Linked DNA regions of Anolis sagrei. The protein of the gene in region 1 purifies or fractionates together with the protein of each later gene. This does not show direct contact. Links are inferred from orthologs where the notes say so. Each region holds a gene or a part of one and is shown in the gene's direction. Other genes may lie near its edges.

The links. Proteins that work in one complex are often made in the same cells at the same time.
Region 2: the proteins of ATP6AP2 (region 1) and ATP6AP1 purify together in Homo sapiens (affinity purification with mass spectrometry; 5 studies listed by BioGRID and IntAct, counting the BioPlex papers as one, with this or other methods). This does not show direct contact. The link is inferred for Anolis sagrei from reciprocal best matches to the Homo sapiens genes ATP6AP2 and ATP6AP1.

Annotation. Positions count from the first base shown.
Region 1 is NC_090023.1:78,451,727-78,455,477, reverse strand, and holds the start of ATP6AP2 (renin receptor), read left to right. Parts: upstream 1-875; 5' UTR 876-969; coding exon 970-1,024; intron 1,025-3,751. UniProt on the Homo sapiens protein: Multifunctional protein which functions as a renin, prorenin cellular receptor and is involved in the assembly of the lysosomal proton-transporting V-type ATPase (V-ATPase) and the acidification of the endo-lysosomal system.
Region 2 is NC_090022.1:174,429,389-174,433,139, reverse strand, and holds the start of ATP6AP1 (V-type proton ATPase subunit S1), read left to right. Parts: upstream 1-1,321; 5' UTR 1,322-1,384; coding exon 1,385-1,485; intron 1,486-3,751. UniProt on the Homo sapiens protein: Accessory subunit of the proton-transporting vacuolar (V)-ATPase protein pump, which is required for luminal acidification of secretory vesicles.

The DNA of each region.
Region 1 (3,751 bases):
CACATCACTAAACAGACAAAAATCATATATAGAGGAGGCTTGAGCAGGTTGCTTCCTCCAACAGTGAGAGCCTTTCAAATGGCCAGAGGCAAGTCATTCACAAATATTCTCATATAAATGCACCGCCCTCCACTTCTCGTTCTTCTGGGACTTATAGTGCGGAAAAGCGATACTTCAAACCCTGGCCGTCACACAGCAGCTCCCATTGTATGCCAGTTCCGACTGCCTCCTCTCAGCAATCTGAACATGAGGAACTTCCTGACTGTGAGAGCCGTTCAGCAGTGGAACTCTCTGCCCCGGAGTGTGGTAGAGGCTCCTTCTTTGGAGGTTTTTAAACAGAGGCTAGATGGCCATCTGTCAGGGGTGCTCTGAATGCAATATTCCTGCTTCTTGGCAGAATGGGGTTGGACTGGATGGCCCATGAGGTCTCTTCCAACTCTATGATTCTATGATTCTATCTCATTGGCCTTGGTCGCCTTCGGGATCCTTCAGGCTTTCATTGGCCAACCGCCCTGTCAATCCCATCGGGAAACTTCCGCCTCTAATTCTAAGTGGTTAGATTTCCTGTCACTCAATGGAGATAGACCCGCCCTTCGGACGTCGAGCGCCCTCACATTTTGTGCACGCCCTCCGTTTTCCTATAGGTATAGTTTGGAGGAAGAGCCGAATCGTGAATGGCTAATGTTGCTGTCACTCAAGCTGAAGCTTCACCCTAAAGTCCCGTGGTATCCCGTGATCCCCAGAAGGAAAGTCGATGGGCGGGTTTTTATTTAGTGCTTTTCTATTGGTCACTCGGCTTTGTCATTCACACCATAACTCCACCTGGTTTCGAGATGTACGCTTTTGATTGGCTAAGAGTGCAGTCAGTTAGTGTCAGAAGTGGGCGTTGGCTTGGGCCTCGGGACCAGCTGGTTGATACTTCCTCTTTCTGAGGTCTCGAGTTCATTGAGGAAGCGACGACTGGGAAGGATGGGGCGGCAGTGGAGCAGCCTGGGCCTATGGCTGGTCTCGGCGCTTGTGGCAGGTAAGGCTTCGGGAGTCTGCCTCGCTGAATGGCCCGCTGCCGGAGAGGAGGAGGTTGCTCCAAGGCATTCTGGGGCCTAGGCCACACGGAGGGCTCCCACCGGCCTTGGGACCCATGCGAGAGGAAGCAAACTTGGGGAGGTGTTTTCGAAGGACATTGGGAATTAATGAACTGTCAGGTGTTATCTTCCCCTGACTTGTCCGCAGGTAGTTAATGTAAGAGCTTTTGGATAGGAAAGAACTGCTTTCCCTCTCATTTCTCCATTTAATAATGATGATAATAATAACAACAATAATATCCCAGATGACAGCAGGATTGAAGAGAAACAACTGGAAAAGCTGATATGAGGATTTAAAGATCGAACTGCAAAGACTCTGGTACAAGCCAGTCAAGGTGGTGCCAGTGGTGATTGGCACACTGGGTGCAGTGCCTAAAGACCTTGGCCTGCACTTAAACACAATCAGTGCTGACAAGATTACCATCTGCCAGCTGCAGAAGGCCACGTTACTAGGATCTGCACACATTATTCGCCGATACATCACACAGTCCTAGATACTTAGGAAGTAGGAGCCCATGGTGGCGCAGTGGGTTAAACCCCTGTGCCGGCAGGACTGAAGACCAACAGGTTGCAGGTTCAAATCCGGGGAGAGGTGGATGAGCTCCCTCTATCAACTCCAGCTCCTCATGTGGGGACATGAGAGATGCCTCCCACAAGGATGATAAAAAGCACCAAATCATCCAGGCGTCCCCTGGGCAACGTCCTTACAGATGGCCAATTCTCTCACACCAGAAGCGACTTGCAGTTTCTCAAGTCGCTCCTGATACAACAAAAAACAAACAAACTTGGGAAGTGTCCGACATGTGATCCAATACAACAGCCAGCAGAGTGTCTGCTGTGGACTCATCAGGATGTGTTTCAAAATAATAATAATAATAATAATAATAATAATAACATTTTATTTATACCCCACCACCATCTCTCCAAGGGGACACGGCGGCTTACACGAGGCCAAGCCCAACAATACAGCAAATATACAACATAAGATGCAAACAGTAAAATACAATGAAAATAAAAACAAAAACAATATAAATGAACACACCAAACAATATAAAACCACAGTAATTGAGCAGGACGGATTAAAAGATTAAAACACTGGGTAAGCAGGCCATGTAATGTATCAAGACAGAGGAACAGAGGGACAAAAGTAAGGTTTAATTGCACTAGAAGATAGAGTAAAGTGCTTCTGAGGATATTTTATGCAGGGTTTGGTCAAGATCAAAGACTGAAGGCACACTGGAATAGCCAAGTTTTCAGACTCTTCCTAAAGACAGCCAGGGTGGGGGCTTGCCTAATTTCTCTGGGGAGTGAGTTCCAGTGCCAAGGGGCCACCACGTAGAAGGCCCTCTCCCTCGTCCTCACAAGTCGCACTTGCAATGAGGGCGGGAGTGAGAGAAGGGCCTCTCCGGAAGATCGAAGGGATCATGTAGGTTCGTAAAAGGAGATGCGGTCATTTCCAAAGAGCCTCCAGTAAACAAACCCTGATTGGAATGTCCAAGGTGTGCAACAGCAGATACTACCAAAGTCTTATGGCCACTTCACAACTTAATACAATTATATTACATGGCATGATATTTTATAGGGAGCACAATTAAGTTTTTACATAGGATTTTCTTTAGCTGGTGTCTGCAACCAACCTCATACACTCTAAAGACATTTCCCTCATATCTGTTAACTCTGCATTCATATTCTCTGTTCCTCTTCCAGTATAAGATGTTGCAAAGGATAGGTTAAGTTCCTGATCAGCCAAGTTGTTGCAAAAGTGGGATATATAGAAGTGTTAGTTCCTCAGGTAAACCCCCACCCACCCCAGGCAAAACAGCTACTGAAAGCTTGAATGCCTATTGAAATCCTACCCTTCCTTGTTCTTGTGTGTTTGTGTTTTTCCTCTGCCTTCACAGAGGCAACAATGCGGATACCTCTTCTAGTGGAAAATCAGAACTTAACAGTGTGGTAGAGTTGTTGAAGGCTTTCATGGCTGGAATCACTGTGTTGCTGTGAGTTTTCCAGGCTGTGTGGCCATGTTCCAGAAGCTTTCCCTCCTGATGTTTCACCCACATCTATGGCAGACATACTCAGAGGTTGTGGGGTCTGTTGGATACTAGGCAAGTGAGGTTTATGTATCTTTGGAATGTCCAAGATGGGAGAAAAAAACTTGTCTGTTTGAGGCAAGTGTGAATGTTGCAATTGGCCACCTTGCCTTGGATTTAATAGCCAAGCCGCTTCAAAGCCTGGCTGGTTGCTGCCTGGGGGGATCCTTTTTTGTGAGGTGTTAGCTGGCCCTGATGGCTCTGTCTGGAATTCTCCTGTTTTTTGCATGTGGACAATTTCAACAGAAAGGAGGAAACCATGAAATTGAACAAAATCTGGCTACCAGTATTATTATTTTTTTAAAAAACCTCTAAAATCAGGACAGTAAATAAAAAGCAACACTCAAAAACAGGGGAATTCCAGACAAGAATCAATCAGGGCCAGCTAACACCTCCCATCAAAGAAGTCCCCCAGGCTGCAACCAGCCAGGCTTTGGAGCTGCAAGGCCATTTGATGCTAATCATTGTGGCATTCACACTTGCCTCAAACAGAGAAGAGTTCTTTTTCCCACTCTGGACATGCCACAGATAGATAAACCTCACTTGCCTAGTTTCCAACAGACCTGACACCTCTGAGGA
Region 2 (3,751 bases), on another chromosome or scaffold:
ACTATGTATTTTTGACATTAATATTGAAATCTGAAATATATACCGAAAGTCTTGACACGACAAAAAAAATATTATCATAGAATCATAGAATCAAAGAGTTGGAAGAGACCTCATGGGCCAACCCCCTGCCAAGAAGCAGGAATATTGCATTCAAATCACCCCTGACAGATGGCCATCAAGCCTCTGTTTAAAAGCTTCCAAAGAAGGAGCCTCCATCACACTTCGGGGCAGAGAGTTCCACTGCTGAACGGCTCTCACAGTCAGGAAGTTCTTCCTCATGTTCAGATGGAATCTCTTCTCTTGTAGTTTGAAGCCTTTGTTCCTTGCCCTAGTCTCCAAGGAAGCAGAAAACAAGCTTGCTCCCTCCTCCCCGTGGCTTCCTCACATATTTATACATGGCTATCATATCCCCTCTCAGCCTTCTCTTCTTCAGGTTAAACATGCCCAGCTCCTTAAGCCGCTCCTCATAGGGCTTGTTCTCCAGATCCTTGATCATTTTAGTCACCCTCCTCTGGACACATTCCAGCTTGTCAATATCTCTCTTGAATTGTGGTGCCCAGAATTGGACACAATATTCCAGGTGTGGTCTAACCAAATAATATTATAATGTAATGCAATATAATACTAATCATAATAATAATATGATGGGCGTTCCACAGCTGAGGGGCCACTACTGAGAAGGCCCTGTCTTTCATCCCAGCGCCAGATGTACTTGTGACGCAGACGGGACCGAGAGCAGGGCCTCCCCAGGCGATCTTAACGTCCTAGTATCATATTATTATTATCATTAGTATTATATTGCATTACATTATAATATTAATATTATATGTATATAAATTATATTATATTATATTATATTATATTATATTATATTATATTATATTATTAGCATAGCACAGGAGACAAGGTGGAACTCTATGCACTCTTTACCTTCTTTTCCTTTCCTTTTCCCAGCAGTTCTTTCAAGGAAGTGAGGCTAAAGGACAAGGTCACCCACTGGGCTCCATGGCTGGAGAGAGACTTGAACCTTGGCCCAAGCAGTTAGTCATCCATGGCACTGGTTCTCAAGCTGTGGCCCTCCAGGTATTTTGGACTTCAACTCCCATAATCCCACGCCAGTGGCCACAATGGCTGAGGCTTCTGGGAGCTGAAGTCCAAACCTCTGGAGCACCAAAGGCCTCTGGAAGGCGAGGAACCTCCTACGAAGGAGAAGGAAATCATAGGCGATAGGAAGGAGGTTTCTATTGGCTGCGGCTGATCCTACTTCGCGTCCCTATTGGCTGCCTTTTGGAACCAATATCCTCCTCCCGTTCTGATTGGCTGTGACGCGCCGGGAGAGCAGGCGAAGGGAAGCAGCGGTGAAAGGAGCAGAGAGGGAAGAAAGATGGCGTTGCGGGTGTTTGCTGGGTTTTGGCTGTTCTTGCTTCTGGGCCTGGCGGCGGCGCAGACAGGACAGGTGCCCTTGCTGGCCTGGTCCAGCCACAGGTACGCGGGCCTCTGGACTACCTTGCAGGAATGAGACAGCAAAGGGCTGTCTGGAGTGCGTCTACACTGTAGAATTAACGCAGTTCGACACCGCTCCGTGCTGTGGGATGGTGGGAGTTGTCGTTTGGCGAGGCACTGAAGCCCTTCTCTCTGTACAGCATGCACTGGCTTGATTTTGGTGAAATGTTTACTTCATCTTGAATTAAATGGCGTTTTTCCATCATTGCTCCCAGGCCCCTTCTGCACTGCCATATAATCCAGATTATCAAAACAGATAATCCACATTATCTGCCTTGAACTTGATTATCTGAGTCTACACTGCCATATAATCCGGTTCAAAGCAAACAATTGGATTTTATATGTCAGTGTAGAAGGGGCCTCAGAGCTGAAGGGCAGCCCTTCTGGTTATGAAGGGCTATATTATTTACTAGCTGTCCCCTGCCACGCGTTGCTGTGACCCATTTTGTGTCTATGTGTTTTGTGTGTGTATATATGTGTGTGCAGTGGGTTAAACTGCTGAGCTGCTGAACTTCCTTACCAAATATTACAGGTTTGAATTCGGGAAGCAGGGTGAGCTCATGCTGTTAGCCCCAGCTTCTGTGAACTTGTATTGTCGAAGGCTTTCATGGCCGGAATCACTGGGTTGTTGTAGGTTTTTTCGGGCTGTATGGCCATGTTCTAGAGCAGGGGTCCTCAAACTAAGGCCCGGGGGCCAGATGCGGCCCTCCAAGGTCATTTACCCGGCTCTCGCTCAGGGTCAACCTAAGTCTGAAGCGACTTGAAAGCACATAACAACAACAACAATCCTATCTCATCAGCCAAAAGCAGGCCCACACTTCCCATTGAAATACTAATAGATTTATATTTGTTAACATTGTTCCTCATTTTAATTATTTTATTGTTTTTAAATGTTTTTTACATTACAAATAAGATATGTGCAGCGTGCACAGGAATTCATGTTTTATTTTTCAAATTATAATCCAGCCCTCCAACAGTTTGAGGGACTGTGACCTGGCCCTCTGCTTAAAAAGTTTGTGGACCCCTGGTCTAGAGGCATTCTCTCCTGATGTTTCGCCTGCATCTATGGCAAGCATCCTCAGAGGTAGTGAGGTCTGTTGGAACTAGGAAAAAGGGTTTATATATCTGTGGAATGACCAGGGTGAGACAAAGGACTCTTGTCTGCTGGAGCTAGGTGTGAATGTTTCAACTGACCACCTTGATTAGCATACAATGGGCTGACTGTGCCTGGAGCAACTTAGTTTGAAAACATGCAAATGTGAGTAGATCAGTAGGTACCACTCTGATGGGAAGGCAACAGCGCTCATGCTGGCCACATGACCTTGGAGGTGTCTACGGACCACGCCGGGTCTTCGGCTTGGAAATGAAGAGGAGCAGCACACCACAGAGTTTGACATGACTGGACTTAATGTCAGGGGAAAACCTTTACCTTATATATTTGTGGATATATGTGTATTTGCACATATGTGTGGTTTTGCACATGCATTTTGATGTTTTATATATATATTTGGCTTTTAAAGCCTTTTCTGCTGTGTTTTACAGTGTTTTTATGAGTGATGGTCACTCGTTGGCCTGATAGGTGTCAATTTTGTGTCAATTCGTCCAGTGGTTTTTGAGTTCTGTTAATCCCACAAACGAACATTACACTTTTATTTATATAGACTAGCCATCCCCTGCCACGCGTTGCTGTGGCCCAGTCTGGAAAATAAAGTAAAGTTTATATATCTGTGGAATGACCAGGGTGGGACAAAGGACTCTTGTCTGCTCTCACAACCACCATGTCAGACTACACAGAGAAGCCATTGAAATCCGCAAGCATGTGGACAATTTCAACAGAAAAGAGGAAACCATGAAAATGAACAAAATCTGGCTACCAGTATTAAAAAACTCTAAAATTACCACAGCAAAACAACAGAGAGTAAACAATCAGGCACATCTAATCACCTCTCAACAAAAGATTACCCCAGGCACTGCCAAGCCATCAAATGCTAATTAAGGTGGTCAGTTGAAACATTCACACCTAGCTCCAGCAGACAAGAGTCCTTTGTTCTATCCTGGTCATTCCACAGATCCATCTTATTAGGACGACTGACCACTGTAGTTTTATATTTAGTGTTTTTAAAGTTGTTTTGTAATTTGTGATATATGATATTTTAATGAATGTATATGTTTTTATGGCTCTCGATGAGGTTGAGAAGCTCGGTATACAAAACTGTGAAATAAAATAAACAAAAATAAATATATAAAC